7 linked regions of the Ovis aries genome follow. The protein of the gene in region 1 interacts with the protein of each later gene in a pairwise test. Links are inferred from orthologs where the notes say so. Each region holds a gene or a part of one and is shown in the gene's direction. Other genes may lie near its edges.

Region 1 (3,164 bases):
AAAAATAGAAAGTACAAAGGTCCTGGGGCCAGAGCTACTTGTGTGCAAGAATCAGCAGAGAGAACAATGTGGTTAGAGCACAGCAGGAACTGAGAGGAGGCGCAGATGAGGTAGGGCCTGGTAGGCCATTACCAAGACTTTGGTTTTTCTTTTGACTGATAAGGGAAAACTATTGGAGGGTTTACAGCAGGGAGGGGAAGTGATCTAACTTTTGTTCTAAAGGAGTCCTGTCCTTACTCTGGGGAATACATACACTATAGGAAGAGAAGAATGGAAGTTAAGTGGTTAGTTTCAACAGCCTGTGTGAGAAAGGAGGGCTGGGACCAGGGTGGTATTGGTAGAAGTAACAAGAAGTGATTCGACTGGGAATATATTTTAAAAGGTGTTCCAACAGAATGTGGTGGCCCAGAGGCTGTCTCCCCAACTCATTTGTCAACTATTTGAATAATCGCATTCAAAGTAGAAAAGCAAAGCCATTTTTAAAACACAAGTGTTTATTGTTAAGCAGGGGATAAATACCCAGTAGTCAAGGGACACTAACATTAGGACAGAAATAGAGTCAAAGATAGGCAGGACTCCTGCAAATGGTGATTGGATGCTAAATTTTGCAGAACTTTTTACACTTTGCTATTTACAAAAATAATTTTAAACAAAGGGATAGAAGTACACAATACTATTTTCCAACCAAAGAAAAATCCCTTTTAAATATCGCTTTGTCATGAAAGACAGGACCCCTGAGGGTCTTTCATAACTCTTACAGGGTGTGACGCTGGCGTGCAGCCAGCACTGCTAACGGTTCTTTGGGTGAGGGAGATTTCATAAGCCAAGAAATGTGTTAAAACCACTCAGAGGGAACCCAGGGGCTACTGGCCCTCCAAGGAACACCGAGATGTATGAGTCGGCTTGGCTGAAGGGTGGTGAGTCCTTTAAACCTGAGCAGGTTGAACCTCTCTGAGAGATGGGTCTTTTGCGCTTGCACGGTCCAGGCTACGGCCCGACCCACATCCAAGGTTGGGTCTTCGCCTTTATCCAGCGGCCCCCGGACCTGCGAGCGCGGACGCCGAGCCCTAGTCCGGGCCACCCCGGCCCCGCCCCTTGCCTTCCCCGGCCCCGCCCCTTGCCTTCCCCGGCCCCGCCCCTTGCCTTCCCCGGCCCCGCCCCCTCCAGCCGGGCGGTGCCTGAGCGGGGCCGTCAGCTCGGCTGTGTGGGCGGAGCTTGCGCCGCCGCCGGGACCCCTGCGCGCACCGCCCCTCGCTCCTAGCCACCGCGCGTCTCCTCTGACACGCACTTCCTGCGAGGCCTCCGAGAGCACCTTAGCCTAGCCGAATCGAGCTGCGCCCTGCCCTGCCTTTCCAAGCTGTTCGCCATGGTGGATGAGCTGGTCCTGCTGCTGCACGCGCTTCTGATGCGGCACCGCGCCCTTAGCATCGAGAACAGCCAGCTCATGGAACAGCTTCGGCTGCTGGTGTGCGAGAGGGCCACCCTGCTGCGCCAGGTACGTCCGCCGAGCTGCCCTGTGCCCTTCCCCGAAACGTTTGACGGCGAGAGCTCCCGGCTCCCCGAGTTTATCGTGCAGACGGCGTCTTACATGCTCGTCAACGAGAACCGATTCTGCAACGACGCCATGAAGGTGGCATTCCTGATCAGCCTGCTCACCGGGGAAGCCGAGGAGTGGGTGGTGCCCTACATTGAGATGGATAGCCCCATCCTGGGCGATTACCGGGCCTTCCTCGATGAGATGAAACAGTGTTTTGGCTGGGATGACGACGAAGAAGACGAAGACGAAGATGAAGAAGATGAGTATTAGGCCCGGAGACCCTCGGGCCTAGAGGGGGAAGGGCACTGCCCTCCGCCACCCCCGCTGCCTCCCCGCCTCGCCCCGCCCGGAGCCACCGCGCTCCCCTAACGCTGTGATCCCCTGGCCTTTCCCTCCCCTCTGGTTGTCTTCCTCACCCTCCACTCTCTGCCGTAGTGCTTGTCTTTGTTCCAGGCATAGTGCTCTCTAGTCACCTGCTGCTGAGGCTGGGGCGTCTCTGAAGTGCACTCTGCTGCCCACTCTGGCCAGCCCCAGGACCCTCACTGCTCGTTAGAACTGTGTTCTGAGCCCCAGCTCTAGGGCAAGCCCCTCTTACAAACCGGTCAGCCTATACTCTGCCTTGCTGACTGTCAGGCCTGCACCTCTGCCCAGCGACCTGCGCTGCCACCCAAGCACCCTCCACCAGATTCCAGCGATAGACCCGGCCTTTGGAGATCAGGAACAATCTAGAAGATGCCTTTGTGGGCTACACCTCCTGGGACACTGATTTGGACTGCTCACCAACAACTCCACCCCCCTCCCCAGGGGCTAATCTTTCAACTTGATTAATTGTTCCCTACTAACTCCAGGTCTTCCTCCTGGCCCACCAGATTGCTGCAGGGGCCCATTGTGCCTGGCAACCCAATTGTTGACATTTCTCCTATGCATCAGTTTTGCACACCCGTCATCTTCATTTCAAAATTGCAGCAGTCCCATCGAGGTGTGCATTTGGACAAAAATACTAAAAACCGAACAATACAAACAAAAGCAAGTACTCAGCCCAGCTCCTCAATGCTACCTGGAAAAAGCATTTGCATTCTTTTCAATAAATTTCAAGCACTACCAAAAAAAAAAAAAAAAAACAACAACAGCAAGTGTCTTTTCATGGTTAAGGGCTATCATTGGCCTTTGCCACTTTCACCCTGACTCATTATTCCCACTGGCATCAGGGAATCTCATTCAACTTTCAATCTCTGTACTCCCCACTGTCACGACTAAACTCCAGAGGACAGTTACTACAGGGCTTTATGGGGAAACTGGTACTACCCCCACTGATGCCTTTCTTATAGCCCTGGTGAAGGGAGTGTTCTCTGGTGCTTCTGAGGTGGCATGGGTAAGGGGTGGCTGAGCAGGCAGGTGGCACACCATCCCAAACTGGGACAATTTTGAGAGAGCTTCAAGGGGACACTATTAATAATTAGACTGGAACAACAAGTACAAGTCAGGACACACAATATTTCTATTTTCATGAACTTTGGGGTTCTTCCTCAACATGGTCAGAGATGTTCTGCCTGTTAACTCTTAGTGCCTGTGGGGTGCTATTGATTTTAGGCTTCAATACATAGTGTAGCACATTGTTTTAAAACCC
Region 2 (3,269 bases), on another chromosome or scaffold:
TGGACACATCTGTGAGGAAACTACAGACAGGAAAATAAGGGGTGATGTTTTCTTTTATCACTGCATTTATCCAAATTACCTTTAACAAGTACACATTGCTCTTTTTATGTATCTTTTCTTTCTCTGATACAAATTCCCTGAGAAACAGAAACTCAAACAATTCCTCTTATAGGAGGGAAAAAAATTTTTTTTCCTTAAAGGTCAAAAACATTTGCACGTGTCAACCCATGTACTTTGTGATCCAGTACCATTTTTCAGCCATGATCCCCAATCCTTACACCCTGGGCACAGGCTATCTATTTTATTGTCACAAATGAGGAAACCTAGGCTCAGAAAGTCAGGCAGCCTCCCCAGGGCTGCATGGTGGTGAAGATCCATCAAACACCAAAAGCCTTGCCCTTCAACTGTGCTGCGAGAATGGTTGAGGCTGTGGGCCCATCTGACCCGCTCCCCCGTCCCTGCTGTGTGAATGGCTGAGGCTGTGGGCCCATCTGACCAGCTCCCCCGCCCCTGCTGTGTTGTTTCTACAGCCTCCATGTACTCTGAGATCCAGAGGGAGCGGGCCGACATCGGAGGCCTGATGGCCCAGCCAGAACACAGAGAATGGAACCCAGAGCTCATCAAGCCCAAGAAGCTGCTGAACCCCGTGAAGGCCTCCCGGAACCACCAGGAGATGCACCGCGAGCTGCTCATGAACCACAGGAGGTGGGAAAGGAGCCCCCCCACCCTGTGAAAGGCCAGCCTGGTAGTCACCCTGGGGCTCTGACAGACAGAGCAGGTCTGAGGGTGCCCCATGTGGTCAGCGGAGAAGGCAATGGCACCCCACTCCAGTACTCTTGCCTGGAAAATCCCATGGATGGTGGAGCCTGGTAGGCTGCAGTCCATGGGGTTGCGAAGAGTCGGACACGACTGAGCGACTTCACTTTCACGCACTGGAGAAGGAAATGGCAACCCACTCCAGTGTTCTTGCCTGGAGAATCCCAGGGACGGGGGAGCCTGGTGGGCTGCCGTCTGTGGGGTCACACAGAGTCGGACAGGACTGAAGCGACTTAGCAGCAGCAGCAGCAGCATGTGGTCAGCAGCACACACTGTGGAGGTCCAGCAGCCCTGTGACCCCGCCTAGTCAGCCACGGGTGCCTGCTCTCCATGTGTCGGCTGCGTGGATGCCCTGTGCCCAGACCGAGGGGCACACAGGGGAATGGGACCCAGTTCCTGCCCTCACAGAGGAGACCGATGTTTGACCAGATGGTGGGACGGGTGCTTTGAGGGAGGCACGAATGGCCTGCGACCCCAGCGGAGCCACCAGCCTGGGCTCCAAGGACGAAGTGATGCCTCAGCTAGGGCTAGAAGAGTGGGTGGGAGTCAGCCAGGGTCGGAGGTGGGTACTAGCCGCGAGCAGCTGATGGATGAGAATGTGAGAGTGCAGAGGAACCTGGAGGAGCTCAGAGAGAGTGAAGAATGTGGGGCTGTGAAGGGTCCCAGTGCTGGGTTTCACCGTACAGGAGGGACGAGTGGAGCAGGCAGGCCAGGAGCATGCAGTGGGCAAGGCTGGCTGAAGGTGTCGGGCCTGGGACTACTGGGTTACTGAGGGACTGTGGTGAAGTGCAGGCTTCCCAGCTGGCACAGGGGTAAAGAACCTGCCTGCCAATGCAGGAGACACAAGAGAGGCAGGTTTGATCCCTGGGTGAGGAAGATCCCCTGCAGGAAGAAAGGGCAACCCACTCCAGTATTCTTATCTGGAAAAATCCCATGGACGGAGAAGCCTGGTGGGCTACAGTCCATGGGGTTGCAAAAATAGTCACACACGACTGAGGCAACTGAGCATGCATGGGGAAGGGAGAGGGAGGTTGAGCGTCCCTCCCTTCCCAAGAAGGCCTCTATTCAGCAGCACCCGGACGCAGGTTGCAAAGCCTCCGAAGCTCCCTCTAGTGGTGGCTTTTGGTATTGACGCCGGCTGTGATTGTCCTTATTTTCAACTAACATACCGTCCAGCAGATCTCATTTTTCATCCATGTTGTCTTCCTGCCCGTTGGTTACTAGTCTCTCTGTATCCACCGAGACTGGTTAGGGCCCCTCAACAGAACCCAAAAACTCAAGGCCCTTGTATAAAGTGGCATTGCACAAGCCCGCCCTCGGTATCCACAAATTCAATCTGTGGAAACGGAGGGTTGACTGTGTATTGGAAGTACTTCGTCAAGATCTCTTTTAGAGTTATCCCTTTTAAAATCACCAGTTTGAAAAACAGAAGCCTAAAGACAAATCAGGGTGAATGTTTGAGTATAAATAACAAAAATATGTACGTTATCTCTCACAAATCCATAAAGAAAAAATGAACAGAAGGTACAGTTAATTCACAGAACAAATGAAAGTAGCTGGCACCCATCTCCAAGCTGCTCCACCAGACCCTTCTTGCCTACCAGATTCTGCAATACAAGAAGACTGGACAGTAAGGAGAAATAGATGCTCTTAAATACTGTCGACAAAAGTTATAAATTGGATAACCTTTTCTAAGGAACAGATGGGAACATATAACCAAAAATCTTTGAAGATTTTGCCTGACCCAGCAATTCTACTTCTAGAAACTTACCCTGAGAAAATAACCAGTAATATCCTACAGCCTGCTCTCTGCACTCAGACAGGCCCGGGTACAGATCCGCCTTCAGTCTGTTCACACCTGTGACGTGGACTGGAGTCTCAAGTCTAGGGGTCCCCCTTCCCTGTACCCTGGAACAGAAATGCTTGCCCATCCCCGGGCTACCAGACTGCACGAGGCACTGGCTGACGTCAGTGCAGGCTGCAGCCCTGGGTGCAGGGCGGTGGGCGTCTCCTAACGCGCACCTCCCCCCCCACACACACAGGGGCCTGGGTGTGGACAGCAAGCCTGAGCTGCAGCGTGTCCTGGAACACCGCCGGCGGAACCAGCTCATCAAGAAGAAGAAGGAGGAGCTGGAGGCCAAGCGGCTGCAGTGCCCCTTTGAGCAGGAGCTGTTGAGACGGCAGCAGAGGCTGAACCAGGTGGGTGGGGGCCCCAGCCCCAGCTTCCTCCAAGACTACCTGCTGGCCCAGGGAGGCGCTCAGCCTGCAGTCACAGCTGATGAGGAGGCGGAGCCAGATGAGGACTGGACCCAGGGTCCACCCCTGGCCTGCGTTCTCACTCGGCCACTCCCTTCGCTGTGTGACTTGGGTTCAGAGAGGGAACGCACTGGTCCAGTTTTCTCATTGGCCCCATCTATTGCATGCTGATTCTGATTATCTTCTCACAGCTGCCC
Region 3 (4,158 bases), on another chromosome or scaffold:
TACAATTGGAGACAGTGGAGGTAAGATGAGGAGGATGGTTATCAATATTGTGATGGTCAGAACGTTTGTATCTCCCCAAAACCCATAATTTGACATTTTAACTCCAAGATGATGGTATTAGGAAGTAAGGCTTTGACGAACTGATTAGATCAAAAGAGTGGAGCCCTCCTGATTAGTTTTGTAAAAGAGGTGGGAAAAAAAACCCTCACCTGCCTCTGCCATGTGAAGATACAGTAAGAAGGGACTTCTGTGAATCATGAAGCAGGCCCTCACCAGACGAAGAAACTGCTAGTGCCTTGATCTAGGACTTCTCAGCCCCCGGAGTTGTGGGAAATAAATTTCTGTTGTTTATAAGCCAGTCAGTGTATTTTTTTTTTCATAGCAGCTTGAAAGGACTAAAACAGACAGCATGAACATGAAAAACACCAGACTAATCGCCAAGGGAACTAGTAGAGAGGCTTAGCTCTCTTTGAAGACAGAAACATTTAAATCCCAGGAGCTCAGATGCACTCTTTGAATAGTTCTTTTCCAATGATGGGCAACTTTCACCTACAGAAAACCTATTTACACGACTTGAGTAGAAACAGGATTATCCAGTTCCACTGGCCTTTGCATAGATGAATAAACAGAAGCCCAGAGAAGGAAATGTCATCACCAACTGTTTCACAGGTACTAACAATTGTCTTGGACACTACACTTTCTGAGCCAGTGCTGTCCAACACAAATGGAGTGGAAGCTACAAAGAGAGCCACACGAGTACTTTACATTTTCTACTAATCACATTTTAAAAAGTAAATAGAAATGGTGAAGTAAACAGCAAAGTGAAATTAAATTTTATATTTTATTTGACCCTAAGTATAACTTCAACATGTAATCAACACAAGTCTTAGAAATCAGATGGGTATTTTCTTTACACTTAAAGCATATTTTAATTCAGACTAGCCATAGTTCAAGCCCTCAGTAAACACAGGTGGTTAGTAGGTATAGTACTGGAGAGCGCAGTTCAATGCCTCAGTTTTCTATTGGAACTGAGAATAAAACGAGGAATAAAACTGCCTAGGTCACTGAATGGATTAAGAGAGGACAAGGGAAACACCGTGCGTCCTGCCCTGCACTCCGCCCAGCACGTAGGGGGCGCGCAATAAATCTTGGTTTCTTTACTCTTTTCCTTTAACGCACCGCCCCCTTCAAGTCTCCGCCCCTTTCCCCGCCCCCTTCAGGTTCCGGGCGGAAGTAGTGCTGTTAAAAGCAGGGCGCTTTGCAGTATCGCTGCATTTTACTGCAGTGTGGCCGGCTTGCGTGTCGCGCGCACTTTTGCTTCATTGGCTCTGCGGCCCCTGCTCCAGGCGCTTTACGGCAGTGTGGCTGGAGCTGCCGCTTTGGGGGCCGCGGTTTGGTCGTGAGTGGAGGGAATCCGAGTAGCCAGTGTTGACTGAGACTGCAACCATGGACGTTGGGGAACTTCTGAGCTACCAGGTATGACGGTCGAGGAGGGCTGGGGGGACCGTCCTCTCACCCAGGCAGGAATCGCAGGACCAGAGTTCCTTCATATCACTCTCTCCCATCTCTTCCCTGGGCCTGGGTCCTCTCATTTCTCTTGTCAACCAGGTCCCTTCCTCGAATTTCTCCTGGGTTCTTTCAATTAATTACGATCCTCAAGGCCCGGACCTCTTTTTAACTTCGTCTGGGCCTCTTCTCACCCAACCCTGAGACTTGACTCCCTTTCACTTTTCTGAAGGCCCCAGACTATCTTCACAACCATTCCCCTTTAATTCTCTGCTTCAAGTCACTGAGTTGAGGATCGTGGTGGGAGAGCACTTTCTTGCATTTGAGTATCAGCTTCTCTACTGATCGGCTCTGTGGCTTTGGGACAAGTTCTATTGTCTTCTTGGAGCCTCAACTTCTGTATGTATAAAACAGAGACAGTAATAGCTACCTATTAGGCTAGTTTGAGGACTGTGTTAATCAATGAATGTGAAAGCTAATTTTAAAGTGCAGAAAGTTGGACACATGTTAATTGCAGTTGTTGGCAGATGTTTGACTTTCTCACATGTGCTGGATCCCTAGGACTCTTGTCCCATTTGCTCAGAATACATGTGGGGAAACTGACCCAGAGCGTAAAAAAGACTTTTCCAAAGTCACTCAGTAAGAGCTTTGATTAGAGATGAGGTCTTTCGGCTCCCAGCTCAACCATTTTACCTTTCTTTGGTCTTCTTAAATGTCCAGTATGGTAGCCACTAGCCACATACAGCTGTTGAACACTTGAAATGGGACTAGTCTGAATTGTGTTAAATTACACTTTCTGCCATAAGGGTGGTGTCATCTGCATATCTGAGGTTATTGATATTTCTCCTGGCAATCTTGATTCCAGCTTGTGCTTCTTCCAGCCCAGCGTTTCTCATGATGTACTCTGCATAGAAGTTAAATAAGCAGGGTGACAATATACAGCCTTGATGTACTCCTTTTCCTATTTGGAACCAGTCTGTTGTTCCATGTCCAGTTCTAACTTTTGCTTCCTGACCTGCATATAGGTTTCTGAAGAGGCAGGTCAGGTGGTCTGTATTCCCATCTCTTTCAGAATTTTCCACAGTTTATTGTGCTGGGAGAAATATCAATAACCTCAGACATGCAGATGATAACCACCCTTATGGCAGAAAGTGAAGAGGAACTAAAAAGCCTCTTGATGAAAGTGAAAGAGGAGAGTGGAAAAGTTGGCTTAAAGCTCAACATTCAGAAAACTAAGATCATGGCATCTGGTCCCATCACTTCATGGCAAATAGATGGGGAAACAGTGTCAGACTTTATTTTTGGGGGGGCTCCAAAATCACTGCAGATGGTGACTGCAGCCATGAAATTAAAAGACGCTTACTCCTTGGAAGGAAAGTTATGACTAACATTGATAGCATATTAAAAAGCAGAGACATTACTTTGCCAACAAAGGTCTGTCTAGTCAAGTCTATGGTTTTTCCAGTGGTCATGTATGGATGTGAGAGTTGGACTGTGAAGAAAGCTGAGTGCTGAAAAATTGATGCTTTTGAACTGTGGTGTTGGAGAAGACTCTTGAGAGTCCCTTGGACTGCAAGGAGATCCGACCAGTCCATTCTAAAGGAGATCAGTCCTGGTTGTTCATTGGAAGGACTGATGTTGAAGCTGAAACTCCAGTACTTTGGCCACCTGATGTGAAGAGTTGACTCATTTGAAAAGACCCTGATGCTGGGAAAGATTGAAGGCAGGAGGAGAAGGGGATGACAGAGGATGAGATGGTTGGGTGGCATCACCAACTCGATGGACATGAGTTTGGGTAAACTCCAGGAGTTGGTGATGAACAGGGAGGCCTGGCATGCAGCAATTCATGGGGTCACAAAGAGTCGGACATGACTGAGTGACTGAACTGAACTGAACTGAACTGACTGACGCTTAGAATAATCAGTATAAAAAAGTAAAATTTTAATATTGATTACATGATCATATTAATTACTTTGATTATTGATCATACTGATTAAATAATCATATATGGGTAATGGGCAAAATAAAATATATTCAAAATAAAATTTACCTATTTCTGTTGACTTTAAAATGTTGCTACTGGCCTTTTAGTGTGGCTACTAAAATTACATATATAGCTGGCTTCTCATTTTCCTTGGACAGCTCTGCAGTAGAGAATAGGGGACTAAGAGCCATGTGTCTGGAGCTCTGTTGCTTGGCCTCTCTTGTTTTGCTGCTCCCTGACTGCTGTGACCTGGAACAAAATATTTAACTTCTCTCTGCCTTGGTTTCCTTATCTTGTAAGTGAGGGCAATGAAAGTACCTATCATATAAGGCTGTTGTGAAATGTGAAGTGTTTGGAGCAACGCTTGTCAAAGAATAAACGTTAAGAATGTTAGCAATTATATTCATGCAATTCCCTCAGCCAATATATTGTACCTAGAATTGACCTTGGAGACTCTGGACATCATGGGAAAGAACTTGTAAGCAATGGGAAGTATGTAGCCAAGTGCCAAGTGATTTCCTTTTTAAGACAGTTATTTGGTGTGAAAGAAGAACGGAGATAGGTGGGTTGAATGAGTGGTTATATCTCTGGTGGCTCAGACGGTAAAGAATCTGCCTGCAATGCCGGAGAACTGGGTTCAATCCCTGGGTCGGGAAGATCCTCTAGAG
Region 4 (4,178 bases), on another chromosome or scaffold:
AGTCAGTGGCCTTTGCCTCCTTCTGGATGCCCAGGCCTCTTTGCTCACCTAATACCCAAGCCCATCCCTTATACTTCTGGTGAGGTACCGTTTGATAGTGGAACGAAAGAGACAGGCCTAGAGGGGACGTTGAAAGCTCTGCTATTCTGTTCCTCCTTTCCTCCCTTACTGAGAAACCAGCGAGATAGAGGACCTGCCATGCCCCTTCCATCAGGCACTCCTCCCAGGCCAGAGCCCTGCCCCTTCCCAGGCCTTCTCTGTCCAGCTGCCTCTCAGCCTCCAACCCCAGAACAAGACCTGTGGCAGGTCATCTGTGCATTGGCCTGGAGCTGGAGAGTGAGGCCATAGGATCTTTGGCAACTCTTGGTTCCCAGGAGTTCCTTAGAGATCAAACCTCTCCAGAGGGAAGCAGGAGCAAGGCCAAAGGGTGTGCAGTGGATGGGGAACAGCAGGCAGGGCTATGGGTGACGCATGCCTCTGGTCTAATAAACTGGGTTTTAACCATCTCCTCTTCAGTGTCGTTCTTCTCTTATTTGAATAGTATTTAGGCCTTCCCACTAAGTGTCTAGAGCTGAGCTTGGCTTGGGGCCACACAATCAGGGGAGGAGTAAGGAGGCGGGAGCAGGGGTGCTCTGGTCCTCCTGGGATGGGACAGGCTGACATCACACCAGGAATGGTTTGAACCACTGGGCAGGGAAAGAGGAAGAGGTCAAAGGCAACAAAGATCCCCAAAAGAAGTCCTAGCAGAAAGGATTCTTTGGCGAGGAGGAAGGGTCACACTTCGAAATAAACTTAAAATCTGGTAGCAGTTTAGGTTAAAAGTCAGGGGGAAAGCTGGGCTGAAGTTCCTGTAGTTATTGAGGCACTTTATGGAATGAGCCCCGGACTATGAACCGGAAGATCTGCATTATAGGTTTCGACTTTACTACTAACTTGGTTGACTTCACCAAGTCATTTACTGAGTTCACCTCGCCTGCTTGTAAAATGGAATAAACAGTGCGTTCTCTTCAGTGTGCTGGGCTTAGAGCAGGAAGAGAAGGAAAGGAAAAACGCACTGCGCCAAGATGAAGCATTTACTCCATCACCCTCGCGCAGGGATGGTGCAGTAGTCCCCCTTTCCAGGTCCTTGTCTCCCTCCGTCGGCCTGGGGGCGCCCTTTCGCATGGCCTCTCTGTCCCAGAGCTCTTCTCGATGGTTTTCCCTCCCGGATCATGAAAGCTGGAGGGAGTGGTCACACGCCTTTTCCGCTAGTTGCTCCCCTCTAGCCCACAGTCTCGCTGCCCTGAGCCTCCCGTGCCGGCGGGCCGGCCGGGCGGACAGGAGGGCGCACGGGGGGCGCGCGGGGGGGGGGCGGGGGGAGTTCCGGTTCCGGTTCTTTGTGCAGCTGCAGCAGCGGCTCCGGGAAAGATGGCGGCCCGGGCGGGTTTCCAGTCTGTGGCTCCGAGCGGCGGCGCCGGCGCCTCAGGAGGGGCGGGTGCGGCGGCTGCCCTGGGCCCGGGCGGGACACCGGGGCCTCCGGTGCGAATGGGCCCGGCGCCGGGTCAAGGGCTATACCGCTCCCCGATGCCTGGAGCGGCCTATCCGGTGAGTGGGGCAGGAGGAGGGGCGCGGGCCGGGGGCGGGGCCGAGCGGGGGCCTGGGAGTGACAGGGGTGGGGGGAGGAGGAGGAGGGACGCGCCTGGGAGGGATTCGGGCGCCGAGTTGGGGTCGGGGGAGACGCTGCGGGGAAGGGAAGGGAGGCTGTTAGCATCCCCACCTGCTCCTAGAGGCATTGTTTTCTTGGGGAGTCAGGATGTAAAACCAGGGTGGACGAAGTGAGGCCAGACGTGGGCCTGTGAGACCTTGAGTGCAAATGGACTAGGCAGGTCCAGTGCCCAGGAACACAGAAGGTGTAGCTGGCAAATTGAGGTCAGCTTCTGAGGAGATAGTGCCTGACAGTACTCTCTGAGTAAATATGGGACTAGAAGAGATGTCCAGTGTGCCAGATACAAAATAGACCGGGGGAGGGGGGCGATTTGAGTATAGTCTGGCTGTCTTTGCTTTGGGCCTATATTCTCCCGTGGAGTCAGAGCTGGAGCAGTGGAAGTTCCAATTACTTGGATATCAGAGAGGTAGAGGGCTCTCCTCCCACCCCACCATTGTGCTCCACCCCACCTTCCTGCCTTGTTTCATTCAAAGAACTCAGGCCTCCCCCACTTTCCCTTTCTTGGTGGGATTTGCAGGGGAAGCCATGACATCTCTAGGTCCTCTCCCCTCTGTAGAGACCAGGTATGCTACCAGGCAGCCGAATGACACCTCAGGGACCTTCCATGGGACCCCCTGGCTATGGGGGGAACCCTTCAGTCCGACCTGGCCTGGCCCAGTCAGGGATGGACCAGTCCCGCAAGAGACCTGCGCCTCAGCAGATCCAGCAGGTCCAGCAGCAGGCGGTCCAAAATCGGAACCACAAGTAAGATGATCCCAGGGTGGAGGGAGGGAGGGAGGAGGCCTGAGAGGACGCAGGTGCTGGGGTGCCTGAGCAGAGAAGCGCAGTGCCGTGTCAGCAGGCGGTACTCATTCTTGAAATAATTGCTTCGTGTTTGTTAGGGGCGGGGGTGTCTTTGATTTGAGACAAGCTTTGCAGTTTCTTCACTTTACTATAAATGGAGGTGCTGACAGCCTGTCTTCATGTTCTGGCTAGTTCCATCCCAACCTGATAACAGTATTTATTCCAAACAGTGCAAAAAAAAAGAAGATGGCTGACAAAATTCTACCTCAAAGGGTGAGTCCAGGGTATAGACCTTCTTGAGGTTGTGGTGAGTTGGAGAGTAGAGATGGTCAGCCTTAGATCCCAATGATATCTTTCTGTTCCCTAAGATTCGTGAACTGGTACCAGAATCCCAGGCCTATATGGATCTCTTGGCTTTTGAAAGGAAACTGGACCAGACTATCATGAGGAAACGGCTAGATATCCAGGAGGCCTTGAAACGTCCCATCAAGGTAACACAAGAGAGTACTAGGCAGAGAGCCAAAGGAGAGGACTCGGGAACCTTCAGCAGGCTTAGGATGAGAAATCAAAGGCATAGCACAGCTTTCCTTGGCATTTAAATTACATCTCTTCTGCCTACAAACTGAGAAGCGTAAGAACAGAACAGCAAAGGGGAAGGGGCTTTTGATAGTTCTTGCACCAGAAATATACCCTGTTGGTGTTTTTGCCGTAACTGCTCTGCCACCTTGGGAACCTGGCATCTTGCATGACTGTCTACTTGGCATCCCGGTGAATGCATTTGCACTGAGGCCCGTGGCCTGTGCTCCTCTTCTCATTGGAATCTGCATCCAGCCACCCCAGGGACTGGGTAGACAGTAAGCCAGTCTGTTAGGAGTCATTGTCGGGTTTGGGGGGACCCTTGTCTTCAACATCAAACCACTGAGGCCCCACTGTCAATCCTGTTTCTGCCTTCCTCAGCAAAAACGGAAGCTGCGAATTTTCATTTCTAACACTTTCAATCCGGCTAAGTCAGATGCTGAGGATGGGGAAGGGACGGTGGCTTCCTGGGAACTTCGGGTAGAAGGACGGCTCCTGGAGGATGTGAGTTCAAGGTCCACCGTGGTCGGTGTCCGGGGTGGGAGCTTCTGGGAACAAGCAGTATTGTCTGGTTGGCAGGAAGCCTGACTGGTGCTTACAGCTCCTGTTGGGAACAGCAGGGAGAGGGTCACTGTGTTCTCTGCACTAACAGACAATGGTTCTTTGTGTCTGGCTCCCACAGCTTGGCCCTCTCTGTGGTATCACATCGAGAACCTTATTGTGCTGGGATTTGATTTGTTGTTTACCTCTCTCCTGATGCTGCTAGCCATTGGATTTGGCAGTATCTGCAGATTTTTCAGTTATTTTTTTTCTTGTAAACCAAGTGAATTTGCACTTAACATTTGGGCCATGCTCTCTTCCCTGAGTCCTTGAGGTCCTTGATTTCTGCTGTGGCCTCTCCATCTTCCCAGCTCCTATTGGAAACAGCTCGCAGTTTATGTGGGATTGATTTCTGTGCCTGGCTCTTTGTTTTTTCATGGGGAACATCAGCTGCCAGGTGATAGCTTCCAACTTCCCACCCCAGAAGCTCCTTGGAGACGCTCACCTGCCATTCCCTTATACTCTCTGGCTCTCTATTTTTAGCTGTTCACAGGCAGGCCAGTGTGAACGCAGT
Region 5 (4,197 bases), on another chromosome or scaffold:
CAAGCGGTTTTTTTTTTTTTTTTTTTTTTTAATAAAACAGTTCCGAAAGGGCTACAGTTTGAACGTCACTGTTCTAGGTGTTCTTCTCTGGAGGCTCCATCCTTCGCAGGAGCACCTCCCTACGCCGGCAGGGCTGTCCCCACGCAGGTGTGACATTCGGGATGGGCTGCCCAGTGGGCTTCACAGCTCCGACCTCGCCGCAGACCCCATCACGCCCCCCTGGGGTGCGACCCAAGGGGAGTCTCTGAAGGCCTCCGCAAGGCACAGCCCGGACTCTGAGCACTCGGGGTGAACGGATTGGCCCGGACCCCCGCCCAAGGTGCATGCGAGCCCGGAACGACCGGAAAGTGGGTGGGAAGCCGTCTCTGCGGCCTCCGCCCGGGACCGGGGAACTCGGACCAGACTCGGAGAGCGCTCGCGCATCCCCTGGCCCTCCGCCGGCGCAGGCGCACTGCGCTCGCCCCGCGCCCGCCGGGAAGGCCGGCCGGCCCGGCCCCGCGCCCCCAAGGCCGCGTTCCCGCCGCGGGGCAGGGCGGGGCCCTCCGCGCCTGCGCACTCGGCCTTCGCACCGCCCCTGCGTCGCCGGGAGCAGGCCGCACCACGTGATCGCTGCCCGTACCCAAGATGGCGGCCGCGGCCGGGCCTCACCGGCTCCCCTCTTCAGCCCGCGCCTCAGCCTCCCCTCGCCAGGAGAGCGGCCCGTCCGGCCCTCACTGCTGGGCCCCGCGGCGCAGCTCTCTGGGGGCGGCGAACGAGGCTTTCCGGGGCCACGGCCCGTGTTGACAGTCACCACGCGCCTGGACTCCCAACACTTTCCCAACCATCAGGCGTCCACCAGCTGGCGCCTATAGCGTCCTCTGATAGCCCCGCCCCTGGGATTGGCAGCTTCGGCAGCCAATGGGGACCAGGAGGCGGGCGGGGGTGGAGCATCCCTGGCGTTCGGAGGGCGTTGGGCCTGGCGAGTTGGAGGCCGCGGGGCCGATGGGCGGGACCAAGCGGGGCTGTTCCCGCGACCCCCCCAGTGGGCCAATGGGAGGGCCGCCGGGCGCCCGGGGAGGGCGGGCAGAGGGCGGGGCCGAGCCGTAATTGACGAGCTCTTCATTAGAAACCGGGCGGGAGGGAGGGACCCGCGAGGGGAGGTGATGCAAGGCTGGTGCAGCCAATAGCCGCAGGGCCGACGGCGGGAGGGCGGGGCCGGGGCCGCTGACAGGCGTCGGGGCTGGCCTATCAGCGCTCGCCTCGGTGCCGGAGGGGGGGAGCGGCATCATGGTTCAACGTGGGTCAATTTTTTGTGAATGAGGAGGGGAGGTTGTGGGGCCGCCGCTTGCGGAGCACCGTCCCCGCCGCCGCCGCCGCCGCGCCCGAGCCCGCGCGCCCGCCCGCCCGCCCGCGCCGCCGCCTCAGCCGCCTGGGCCCGGCGCGCCGCGGCCGCGTCCCCGCCGTCGCCGCCGCCCGAGCTCCCTCCCGCCCGCCCGCCCGCCGCCGGCGGTGGTGGTGGTGGTGGTGGCGGCGCAGGCTGAGAAGATGCGGCTCGGAGCGCCCGCCGCCGCCGCCGCCGCGGTAAGCGCTGCCCCGGCCCGGCCCGCGGGCCATTGTCCGCCCCCCGCCCGCCCGCAGGCCGCCCGCCCGCCCGCCTCCACGCCCCCGCCGCCCGGCCCGGCAGGTGGACGCCGGGGGTCCGCCCGCCCGCCGGCCTGGCCCCGGCCCGGCCCCGCGCGCCCAGGCCGCGCGGCCCCGCGGGCGTCCGGAGCGGAGCCGGAGCCCGTCCCGGACCTTCCCCGCTGCAGCCCCCCGGCCCGGCGGGGGCCGCCCGCGGGGCGGGGGCGCAGGACGGCCGGCGGGCCTCCCCGGGGCGCCCGGTCCCGTCCAGGCCGAGCCCTCGGCAGGTGGGCCGGGGGGCTCCCGAGCCCCGGCGGGCGCCGTTTATGTAACTTTGTCGAGGCTGTGAGTTTGCAGAAAAACGTCCCTCCCGGGGCTGGCGGGCGGGCGGGCGGGCGGGGGTGCGCCGTCGCCGGGTGTGTGTGCCCCGGACCGGAACGGCAGGGGTGGGGCGCCCGCGACCCGAGGGGTGCGGGCAGGCCGAGCCCTGGGCCCCGTCCTGCCCAGGTGACGGGAGCCGCGCTTGGCGGCATCGCAAGCTCCCACCGTGGCATCCGAAGCAAATTATCTCGTATTTACATTGAGCGTTGAATTATTTGACACTGTTATAGCAGGAGATCGTGCGTATCAGTCGGAAAGGCCGGGGGTGGAACCCAGTGTACTCATTTAATGCACATCAGAAATTTGTAATAACTTGCAGCAGCTGATACGCGTGTTTTCTTTATTGCATGTTGTAAATTGACCTGCTGTGACACAATTTTCAAATAAAGTGTTGCAGAAATTAAGCTCAAGTTATTTTAAAACTAATGACTTTCTTAACTAAATCCTAATTGCATTACTGTAGAGACCTACCTAATTGCTTGCAGCAGCTCTCTGCCTGCCCTGGGCGAGGGAGGGAAGGGGCCTGTGGAGTTACTTTCCTTCCCCTCTTCCCTCCGCTCAGGCTTTTCTGTTTATTCCCACAAACCGCCTAAGCCGGGGAGGCCTGGGAGTAAACATGTAAACAGCCCTCGCCCAGCGCCAGCCTAGCAAGACTGGGGTAATACTGGTGGGTCTGCACCTTGGCCTGGTTTCACTTTTTCTTTTGTACCGTGATCGTCTGTGGCCTGGAGTTTTAGTTGCTTTTGATAATTTTCTTTGGGTTGAGCCAGGGAAGGTGGTGGTGGTGACTGGCGGAGGGGGACAGGCAGGGGGAGGGAGAGGGATTGAATTAAGAAAACTCAGCTGCTTGTACACAAATATACACTACAGCAGTTACAAAGCAACAAAAGTTATTGCAGAATTTTGCGGTCACTATGGCAACACAATTACTCTATTATAATTGGAAATGCAAAATGCCACCCTCTTAGAAGTTTCATCAGAATGGAGTTTGGATATCAAAAATATGTGAGATTTAATTTTCTTTTTCAGGTAGCTCCTGAGCATTCTCAAATCTGTGTTCAATCATCTATTTTTAAGACCCAGCAAGCTTTCCCAGATATTCTGTTCCCTGGGCTCCGTGGCATCTCCCCCAGAACTCACATTTGTGTGGGAGGGAAGTATTTTCCTGCCTTAAAAACACACACCCTGACACATTGTTAGACTTGTATAGCTTTCTGTGTTCTGGGCTTTTATTTTAAAGATCAAATACCTTCCTAAAGAGAGCAGTAATCAATCAGAAAAGAAGCACGGTTTATGCGGCAGGCAGATGTAACACTGCCCTCTTTAGGGTTACTTCTCTCTCCTGTGATCGGAACTGGCGGCAGGAGCGCCCCTGGGAGAGCCCTGGGCTGGGGGTGTGTGCGGGGGCGGAGGCCCGCGGGGCCTGGGGACCAAGGACAGATGTGGCCTCAGCAGCCCTGAGCCAAGAGAGAATGTTCTGTGGTCAGCAGCTTCACAGCCATGAGAAAGAAAAATCTCTAAATGCCATGTTCTCGGAGGCCTTGGGGGCCGTTACTGTAGCAAGATGGGCAGAACAACATGGCCCCTGGGCCACGTGGGTCCAGAGCACCGAGCTTGGCTCAGTGGCCAGAAGCGTGCTTTCTAAGGATGCCCCTCGTGTTTACCAGGAGGACTCCAGTTCTGGAAGTTTCCGCACGTCTTTGGGTTGCTGCAGTTGAATTTCGTTCTAACTCTTTGCTTTTAACTACTGCATATTTATGTCCAGTAATCGACTTCCATTTTCCAGCTGCATTGTGAGGTTTCAATGCAGCATGAATGGCTTTGAATTCTCATCCTTTGATGTTGGGGGTGGCACCGGAGGAAAGGCGACTTTGTGCCGTCTTAATTGCCAGAGCAGAAGAAACATTTCATCACTTCTGGAGAATCCGTCCCTACCGTTCTCTATTGAAAACGGCTGGGCTTTCATTGCTCAGAAGCTGCCTGAGCTATAGATTGGTACCTGATGGAGGGAGTAGGGGAGATGCAGAGAGCGGGCTACGGCTCTGCTGGGGTGGCGGGATGACGGCCCCTGGACCCGAAATCCCTGCTGGGAATCAGCTGCCGATCCGCGTTAGCCCCGCCTCCGCGGAAGCCGCCTCGCTCTGTGGCCTGCGAGGCTCAGCCCTTGTCCCCGCTGTTCTAGCCGGAGGGCAAGTTCTGCCCCAGCGGTTGCGGCCC
Region 6 (4,263 bases), on another chromosome or scaffold:
GCCAGATCACCCTCTTCTCCACCTGCTCCCCGGCCTCCCGCACCTTTCGAGCCTCCACTGTGAATTTCTTTTTCCCCTTGGTCCTTCTCCTGGGTCTGGCCATCTCCGCGGTTCCTGTGCTTTATAGCATCTTCCTGTAAGTGTGGGAGGTACCGGCCTCTCCCACCCTCCACCCTCCTGTCCAGGGTTCTGACTTTGGGCCATCCTTGACCTCTGCCTATCTCTGATTCCAGGATCCCACCTTCCAAGCTGTGTGGTCCATTCCGGGGTCAGTCGTCCATCTGGGTGGCGATCCCCGAGTCTATCTGCAAACTGCCTCAGATGGCCCAGAATTTTCTCTTCTTCCTGGGTACCCAGGCTTTTGCTGTGCCCCTTCTGCTGATCTCCAGGTGAGGGCGCTAGACTCCTGGGTCTGATTCTGAATGTCTGACCTGGGGTCCCGCTGCCTGCTTCCGAGAGAGAAGGGGGTTGGGGCCCAAACTCTTGGGTCTTCGGGAAGGAGGGGGCTGGGATGCTTCGACTCCTTGAGTCTGAAGGAGGAGGTCCAGACCCCTGCTTTCTAAAAAGCCCTACGTGGAAGATATTCTGAGAACGTTTGCGGAGTGGCTTCCACTTTATCTCCGCTAGCATCCTGATGGCGTATACAGTGGCCCTGGCTAACTCATATGGACGCCTCATCTCTGAACTCAAACGCCAGATACAGACGGTGAGCCAGGCCTGGCCCCTGGGAAGGGGTCCTGGAGAGTATGAAAAAGAACACAGGGGAGAGATGTGTCTCACCTCCCCTCTACCTTTCCCTCAGGAGGCGCAGAATAAAGTCTTCCTGGCACAGCGTGCTGTGGCGCTGAGCTCGGCCGACAGAACTCTTTGACCTCTCCAGCCTGGCTTGGGGTGACGTCCCACTTCCAGCCCCAGACCTGCTCCCAGATCCTTTTTGAGCTTCGTCAACATCATTTGGAAAATGAGTGAACTGGGGAAGACCCCGTGCTTTTCCAGCCCTGGGATTCCCTGCTGAGGCCCCGACCCTCCAGTGAACCTCTTTCTAGTACTGTATCAATGAATCTAGTACTGTGTCAATAAACACAGCGGAGGCCGCTGAGTGCTTTTTAATCTCCGGTCCAGAAGCTGGGGCAAGCCTTCACAGGACATAAACCAATCAAATGTGTGGCTCTGAGAGCGTGGCGGACTCTTCCGCGAGAGAGACCGCGCCAGCCAATCAGCGGCTGCGTTCAGGAGCCTCGGGGCGGGGACACGTGATTGAATCAGAGTCTTGGGGAGCGGCGGTCGCTAGGCGACGCCACGCGCGATTCTCGGAGACGGGGGACGTGGGCCCCGCAGCCAGTCACCTCTCGCTACAGCCCTGGGGGGTCGTGTCAGGCAGCGCAGAGCCAATCCGTGGCCGAGGAAGGAGCAACGGGGCGGGGCCTGCCTCTCGCCAATTGGAAGTGCCAGGAGGTGGGCCTGTCGGTCCGCGGACGGCTGAGGCGCCATGAATATTTTACCCAAGAAGAGCTGGCACGTCCGGAACAAGGACAATGTCGCCCGCGTGCGGCGTGACGAGGCCCGAGCCCGTGAGGAGGAGAAAGAGCGTGAGCGGAGGGCGCTGCTCGCTCAGCAGGAGGTGAGCCCCCGGCCCGGGCGGACGCGGCGCCGCGGCTCAGCGCGCAGGCGCCGGGGAGCGGGGCGGCGCCGGGGAGCGGGGCGGCGCCGGGGAGCGGGGCGGCGCCGGGGAGCGGGGCGGCGCCGGGGAGCGGGGCGGCGCCGGGGAGCGGGGCGGCGCCGGGGAGCGGGCCACCCTGGCGGACCTGGGGCCCGGCTCCCGGGCGGGCTGGGCCTGCGGGCCGTGCCGACGTTCCCCTCGACCTCTCCTTGGTCCTCCTGGAGGGCCGGAGTAGGGGGTCGTGAGTAATCGGAGCCCTGGGCAGTTCACGGAAGCTCGGGCCGCTTGTTACTTTAGCTGTACAAACACCCTGTGCAGTGAGCTCTTGCTGTCCCCTGGCGGCTCAGACAGTAAAGAGTCTGCCTACAGTGCGGGAGACCCGGGTTCGACCCCAGGGTCGGGAAGATCCCCTGGAGAAGGAAATGGCGATCCGCTCCAGTATTCTTGCCTGGAGAATCCCCTGGATGAAGGAGCCTGGTGGGCTACATACCATGGGGTCTCAAGGAGTCGGAAACGACTGAGCGACTTCAGTTTCGCTTTCCCCTGTTCATCCCGTGCAAAGCGCTTGATTTGCAGTCTCTCGAGCCCTGTTCGTTCTTAGCGGGGCGGTTATCTCCCTTCGGCGGAGAAGTGAGATGGCTTCAGAGGAGCCACAGCGAAGCGACAGTGTCTCAAGCCAGTCCCGCTGCGCCAGGCGTGCCTTTTGCCTGCACCGCTGCGCACAAACGTTAGAGAGTCTCTCTAACTCCTCACCTGTTTGGTTTACACCTAGCTTCCAGTCCTTTGACTAATCCGATCGTCAGCACTGGCTGGGAGGTAGTCAGGGTTTTTAAAGCTCACCTTTATCGGACTTCCCTAGTGGCCCAGTGGCGTCCAATGCAGGGGCCCCAGATTCAGTCCTTGATCAGAGAACTAGATCGCACATGCTATAAAACTAGATCTGATGCAGCCAAAGCAATATTTTTTAAGTTCACGGTTATCAATAGAAATTGGAAATCAAATGGGCATAATGACTCAGCGCCCTTCCTGGAATTCAGATCACCTGTCCTAATAGATGTTTTGGCTGCCTTTATAGCTGTTTTCATTGTGTCAGAAATGAAACCCCCTCGTTTACTGTTTGGAAGATGGCTTACAAACCATGCCTTGCCTCACTGCTCCACCCTCTCCCCAGGAATAGTCAGGTGCCTCTTCTGGGTTCCCAGTGCCCCTGCTCCCTTCCTTCGAGCCCTTACCACTGCAGTGGTCAGCACTAGGCTCAAGAGTCCCTTGGGCTACAGCTAGGTTCTGAATGTTCTGCCTGTAACTTTTTTTCCCTCCAGGCCCGCACAGAATTCCTACGGAAGAAAGCCAGGCATCAGAACTCACTTCCTGCACTGGAAGCAGAAACGGGAGCCCCATGCAGTTCTGGCCCTGTGGATCTGTTTCGGGAGCTGCTGGAAGAAGGCAAGGGGGCGACGAGAGGCAATAAAGAGTACGAGGAAGAGAAGCGACAGGAGAAAGTAAGGTGGCCTTACCCTCTTCCTCGGGTCACGGGTGGAGCCAGGGGTGGGGGTGTACCTTGCCCTCAGGTGTGATTACGGGAATATTTAGGGAGATGGTGGGGATTAAACAAGCTAGAGAACTCAGAATAGTATTAGAACATAGCATGTTAAGAGGTGTTGATTATTGCCGGGTGCTAGGTAGACCCCCTCAGGTCTCTAACCTGATGTGCAAACCTTGAAGATGTTGGGAAGTGTTAAGCTTCTTAAAATGTAAATCAGACGCTGTCCCTCACTTGCCCTCGGGGTTTCCTATCAGACTGCCTCCCCGCCCCTCCCCCCTCAGTCACTGCTTTACCTGGCTGGCTTCACAGTTTCTTTTCTATCTCCTCAAAGATGCTGCCTTTGAACCCTAACATAAGCAGTCCCCTCCTTCCTATGCTGTTTGTTGCTGAAGCTGTCCTGGTGCCCCAGAGCAGGGGCACCCCGGGGACTCATCTCTGAAGTCCCAGCAGCTGGCAGAGTCGGCTCCTGACGGGCTCTGCTGGCTGAATGTCTGGTTCTGCCTCTGCGGGAACCCTGGCTGCCTGAGAGGGAACATGCTTCCTGTTCTCACTTTCACATCTTGTCTCCCTCAGGAGAGGCAAGAGAAAGCCCTGGGCATCCTAACATACCTGGGACAGAGTGCAGCGGAAGCCCAGACTCAGCCCCCATGGTACCAGCTGCCCCCTAGGCCGGGCGGCCCCGCCTCTGGTCCTGGGCCCGACGAGAGGATCAAGAGCCGCCTGGACCCGCTGCGGGAGATGCAGAAGCACTTGGGGAAGAAGAGAAAGCACAGTGGAGACAGTGGTGGTCACAGCACAAAGGAAAAGAAGGCGCCTGAGAAACAGCGACCCAAAGAGTAAGGAGCCTCTTTGGCCAAGTGGGCACCACGGGCGCTCTGGCTGAGGCAGGGGCTCTGGGGTCTGCAAGGTCAGGCCCATTTTCGTAACACCGTTGAACGTTTTCAGCCTTGTTCCGGGGTCTGCAGAGACTACATGGTATTTATTACAAGGCCACTGCCCTGGTGGCTGGTGGGCCATCTGCTTGCTCTTGTTCACGTTGTATACATTAGATTCTGGACAG
Region 7 (4,075 bases), on another chromosome or scaffold:
AGTGAAGGCCATTCTCCTTAACCTGATTTATAAGTGCTTCACAGTTTAGCTTCCCTACTTCAAGCCAAATGCTATTTGAACTAGTTGTGGTTCCCCAAAGGACATGTTTTGTTTTTTTCTGCTCCTCTGCACTGTTTATTCCTTGTTCTCTCAAAAATAGTTTTACTGCATTTTTCCTCTAGCAAACGCCTACTTATCCCTCAAATCTCAATTTGCATTACCTCACCTGTAGTGGTCTTTCCCTATCATGCTGAAGGGCAACTGACCATTGTTTGTGTCTTTGGGATTCCCTCTATCCTAGTCCTCATCTTTAACACATCTTCAGATGAACTCTAATCACTTTATTTACTTAAATGTGATTGTCTGCGCCATTTCCAATATATCATAAAATCCTTGTTTTGGGTAACTGGAACACAGTGAGGGCTAAATAAATATTGGCTAAATGATTAGCTGCACACACATGATCCTAATTTCTTGGCTATTTTATTCACTTCTACTTAAATTTCTTACTTAGTTTATGAATCCTAAGCTTCCCCTCAACTATCCTTTCTCTAACAATTTTTCCCATTTTGAAATCTCTCAGCATTTAGATAATAATCTTGTGCCAAATTGCATTTGCCTTTCGGTAGTGTCTTGAAATCTTTCTTTAACCTTTCATCATATGCAGGATCAGAATCTTCTCAAGGCAAGAAGGTGACTCTTAATTTAAATCTTAACGCGCAGAAACAGAAACACTCAAAAGAGTCCATACCGGCATGTGGACTGTAAGGCCCAGAGCACGCGCACTAGGCCCATTTTTGCTTTTCGACTCCTCCTTCCCGCGCCCTCCCCCCGCCTCCCGCCCCGGAGCGTGCGCACCAAAAAGACAAAGGTGGAGAAAGTGACCAAGCAATCATTCAGGCGCATGCCCGTCCCTAACTTCTCCAAGCCTGGTGGAGCGCACAGCCGTGAAGTGGGTGTGGCCTGACCAAGGAGCATCAGAAGCCCAATCCGATTGAGTGAGCTCGGCCCCTCCCTCCCCATGATTGGTTAGCTCTCTGTGTTGTGGGGCGGGGAAAGGCAGAGACTGGGCGGTGGAATGGTGGGGTGGCGAAGAAAGAGAGTCAGTTTGGTTCTGCGCAAGCGTAAATCAGCGACCAGGAGGGGGCGTGAGAGAGGCAAGAGGAGTGTGGAAGCCCTGCTGCGCTGGCCAGCGAGAGCTGGGTCGCCAGCCTTGACGCGTGCGCCGTGGCCCTCGGGGCCCGCGCGCGGCGGGCGGGTGCCCGGTGCGTCTGCGCAGTAGGTGGCGGCGGCGGCAGAGGGAGGAGGAGGCCGTGTAGAGGCAGCGGCAGCAGTGGGTCCCGGGACTGAGGCTGCAGCGGGGGCGGCGGCGGGCGGAAGCTGAGGTGACGAAGGCAGCGGCGGCGGCGGCCGTTTTCCTCACGGTGGCGGAGACCAAGGCGGCGGCGGCGGACGGGGAGCGGCCCGGCCCCGGCCCCCTGCTCGTTGGCTGTGGCAGGGCCGCCGTGGGGCCGGCCCGGCTCCCGCCCCCCGCGGCTCCCCCTCCAGCTCCTCCTCCAGGGAGACGCCGGGGACCTGGCCCGGCCCGTACTCAGAGCGCTGCTGCAGCCGCCGCCGGGGGAGTCGGAGGCGGTGGCGGCGCCATGGGCGGCCTGGCTTCGGGGGGGGATGTGGAGCCGGGACTGCCCGTCGAGGTGCGCGGCTCCAACGGGGCCTTCTACAAGGTGAGGCGGCGCGCCGGCCAGGGACGCGGTCTTCAGCCCCCTCCCTCCAGCCAGAACGGGGAAGAGTGGGGTGGGATCGAGGTTCTGGAGCTAGCCCTGACCCTTAGAACCTTGGACCCACGATCCCACCCGCGGCCCTCCTTGGGGGAGACTTCTGGAAGTTAACCCCTTATTTTTGGCCCCTCTGTTACACCTGCTTTTACCCGCATCTCTGGGAATGAACATCAGGGCATTATTGTGCTTGGATCAGCGCCCCCGCAGCCCCCAGGAGAGACCCCATTTACCCTAGCGTCTTATTGACTTTTCCTGTCTCCTAATAGAAGGCATACCTTGGATCTTAATCACCTCTTCCCCACAGTCCAAGCACATGGAGAATTCTCTTTATTCTCCCCTATTACCCCCTTGGGAAAGCCGTCCCATATTAGATCCTTTCATCTTCCTCGGAGAGGCCTCTGCCTACTGGCTCTGAAAGACTCACTCCACTTTCATCTTATATTTCTGTTCCCACACCAAGGAGAAACGGTCAGAAGCTGTTTATGACATTTAGTATCTTTGACCTCAGGAACTCTGGGCTGTATCAGTCTAGTTGCCTCCTAGCCATAAGGTGGCATCTTTTCACAAGTCTCTCTCACCCCACCCCTTTATTTCCAAGGCTAGTTGGTCTGCTCTTCTACTGGAGGATGGTTTTGTATTTGTCATCTCACGTTGACCTCATACATTCAAATCATTCATATAGTTTCTTCATTTTGAGGAGTGTGAGCTTCATACTCCTACTCTCTATCTAAAATGAGATCTCATGAGGATTACTTCTGTTTATCTTTTTCTTAAGGATTTCCACTTCTAGAAGACTTTTGGTCAACCTGCCCAATTTGGAAACCCAATAGTCTATTTATTTATTTTTTTTAAAGGAGAAGAGGACTGTCTTTACATTTTTAATATTCATTTATTTGGCTGTGCAGCATTCAGGATCTTAGTTTCTGAACCAGGAATCAAACCCATGCCCCCTGCATTGGGAATGCAGAGTCTTACCCACTGGACTGCCAGGGAAGTCCCCTGAATCTATTTTTTAGGACACTTTTTTCCCCATTCATTTATATTAAGCTAGAGGGAGACCCCTCTTGCCTCTCAGGAATTTTTCTTTTGCCACTGTTGTTATGTTGTTAGTTTGAACCGCTTTGTGCTTTATGCCTGGGATTGTCTCAGAGACTTTCCTGCTTCCTGACTTGTTCTCTCATTTTGCCCTCATCCATTATTTGTGAGGACAAGAGCCCCCTTTCCTCCACTTCCCCTCAAGCCTTTCCTCCCGTAGTGGACCTCTCCACCTTGGTATCTTGGAAATGACTTTCCTTCCCTGTGAAGTCGTATCTTGCTATAACTGGAAAGGGTCTCATATTAGCCCTTGGAGTAGGTTTCTGCCCCAGCTTCAATTGATAAGTTCAGTGGTCATCTTTGACCCACTCTAAATGCCTATTCATTCCTGCCTGACTTCCCCTCACCAGATTTCTTTATATTCTTCATTGCCTATGCGTAACCTCATCTGTCTTAATTTCTCAATTTAAGTCTGTGGCTTTTTATCCTAGTATTTCTGCATAATCCCCCAAAACTACCTATTCCATGACCCAGCTAACATGGAAGAAGGAAGCTCCCAATTTACCCCTTCTTTCATTCTTTTTCTACATACTTTCCTAACTCATGGGACTTTTTTCTCTAGCATGCCTCCATACCATTTGTTTTCTTTGGCAAAGTCTCTTAATTCCTTTCTGATTCTGATAGAGTACATTTGTCTCTTATATCCTTTTCCCTCAGGCTTGCTTACCTTTGTTGAAATACCCTTTCTCATAAGATTTTAACCTAATTTCCCACAATATCCTGTCCTTCATCAGGGTCCTTCCCAGCCCCAAGAAAGTGCTTCTTAAATTGAGTCTGAGATCAAGATATAATGTTTGCTTTTGTTCCAGGAAGCATGGGAAAGATCAGTATCCAGTTTGAATTAACCGTGTGAGACTGCTGGGAAGGGGCATGTTTCCCTTTCCACATATAAGTGTCAAGTAGAAAGTCTGTCTCTGAATCTTTCTCTTTTCTCCTGTGGGCTATATGGCAGTGATAGACTTGATTCAGTGAATCAAAGATAGGATGCTTTGAATCAGAGAATAGAATTTGGAGTTCAACTAAAAGCCAGGTAATATGGAGTTTGTATTTTGGCCACTTTAGCATTTTCTGCTCCTTGTCTCATTTGAACAACAAAACATCCTTAAATTCAGTAATCTTTCTTAACTTTCAGTGCCATATACTTACTGAATCTGACCTTGCTGCTGATTTAATATTCATGACTCAGCAGACTTCAGTGTGGT

What was found.
Region 2: the proteins of LDOC1 (region 1) and FAM107A interact in a two-hybrid assay, tested with the Homo sapiens proteins (2 studies listed by BioGRID and IntAct). The two-hybrid records come from large-scale screens. The link is inferred for Ovis aries from reciprocal best matches to the Homo sapiens genes LDOC1 and FAM107A.
Region 3: the proteins of LDOC1 (region 1) and CTNNBL1 interact in binary tests that used the Homo sapiens proteins (3 or more experiments, as listed by UniProt). The two-hybrid records come from large-scale screens. The link is inferred for Ovis aries from reciprocal best matches to the Homo sapiens genes LDOC1 and CTNNBL1.
Region 4: the proteins of LDOC1 (region 1) and SMARCD1 interact in binary tests that used the Homo sapiens proteins (3 or more experiments, as listed by UniProt). The two-hybrid records come from large-scale screens. The link is inferred for Ovis aries from reciprocal best matches to the Homo sapiens genes LDOC1 and SMARCD1.
Region 5: the proteins of LDOC1 (region 1) and HDAC4 interact in binary tests that used the Homo sapiens proteins (3 or more experiments, as listed by UniProt). The two-hybrid records come from large-scale screens. The link is inferred for Ovis aries from reciprocal best matches to the Homo sapiens genes LDOC1 and HDAC4.
Region 6: the proteins of LDOC1 (region 1) and LENG1 interact in binary tests that used the Homo sapiens proteins (3 or more experiments, as listed by UniProt). The two-hybrid records come from large-scale screens. The link is inferred for Ovis aries from reciprocal best matches to the Homo sapiens genes LDOC1 and LENG1.
Region 7: the proteins of LDOC1 (region 1) and FXR2 interact in binary tests that used the Homo sapiens proteins (3 or more experiments, as listed by UniProt). The two-hybrid records come from large-scale screens. The link is inferred for Ovis aries from reciprocal best matches to the Homo sapiens genes LDOC1 and FXR2.

The regions. Positions count from the first base shown.
Region 1 is NC_056080.1:94,166,926-94,170,089, reverse strand, and holds LDOC1 (protein LDOC1), read left to right. Parts: upstream 1-1,284; 5' UTR 1,285-1,366; coding exon 1,367-1,807; 3' UTR 1,808-2,664; downstream 2,665-3,164. UniProt on the Homo sapiens protein: May have an important role in the development and/or progression of some cancers.
Region 2 is NC_056072.1:42,922,450-42,925,718, forward strand, and holds part of FAM107A (actin-associated protein FAM107A), read left to right. Parts: exon of another isoform or gene 1-530; coding exon of another isoform or gene 531-535; coding exon 536-705; exon of another isoform or gene 706-2,858; coding exon 2,859-3,243; 3' UTR 3,244-3,269. UniProt on the Homo sapiens protein: Stress-inducible actin-binding protein that plays a role in synaptic and cognitive functions by modulating actin filamentous (F-actin) dynamics. Mediates polymerization of globular actin to F-actin. Also binds to, stabilizes and bundles F-actin.
Region 3 is NC_056066.1:66,596,191-66,600,348, forward strand, and holds the start of CTNNBL1 (beta-catenin-like protein 1), read left to right. Parts: upstream 1-1,358; 5' UTR 1,359-1,446; coding exon 1,447-1,476; intron 1,477-4,158. UniProt on the Homo sapiens protein: Component of the PRP19-CDC5L complex that forms an integral part of the spliceosome and is required for activating pre-mRNA splicing.
Region 4 is NC_056056.1:136,225,193-136,229,370, reverse strand, and holds the start of SMARCD1 (SWI/SNF-related matrix-associated actin-dependent regulator of chromatin subfamily D member 1), read left to right. Parts: upstream 1-1,378; 5' UTR 1,379-1,407; coding exon 1,408-1,584; intron 1,585-2,261; coding exon 2,262-2,449; intron 2,450-2,702; coding exon of another isoform or gene 2,703-2,718; coding exon 2,719-2,761; intron 2,762-2,856; coding exon 2,857-2,979; intron 2,980-3,445; coding exon 3,446-3,568; intron 3,569-4,178. UniProt on the Homo sapiens protein: Involved in transcriptional activation and repression of select genes by chromatin remodeling (alteration of DNA-nucleosome topology).
Region 5 is NC_056054.1:2,119,454-2,123,650, forward strand, and holds the start of HDAC4 (histone deacetylase 4), read left to right. Parts: upstream 1-1,397; 5' UTR 1,398-1,560; intron 1,561-4,197. UniProt on the Homo sapiens protein: Responsible for the deacetylation of lysine residues on the N-terminal part of the core histones (H2A, H2B, H3 and H4).
Region 6 is NC_056067.1:63,980,625-63,984,887, forward strand, and holds the start of LENG1 (leukocyte receptor cluster member 1), read left to right. Parts: upstream 1-1,463; 5' UTR 1,464-1,489; coding exon 1,490-1,621; intron 1,622-2,979; coding exon 2,980-3,159; intron 3,160-3,776; coding exon 3,777-4,039; intron 4,040-4,263. Other genes in the region: TMC4 (transmembrane channel-like protein 4), read left to right, coding at 6-136, 234-389, 628-706, 803-871.
Region 7 is NC_056064.1:27,152,552-27,156,626, reverse strand, and holds the start of FXR2 (RNA-binding protein FXR2), read left to right. Parts: upstream 1-1,275; 5' UTR 1,276-1,643; coding exon 1,644-1,724; intron 1,725-4,075. UniProt on the Homo sapiens protein: mRNA-binding protein that acts as a regulator of mRNAs translation and/or stability, and which is required for adult hippocampal neurogenesis. Specifically binds to AU-rich elements (AREs) in the 3'-UTR of target mRNAs.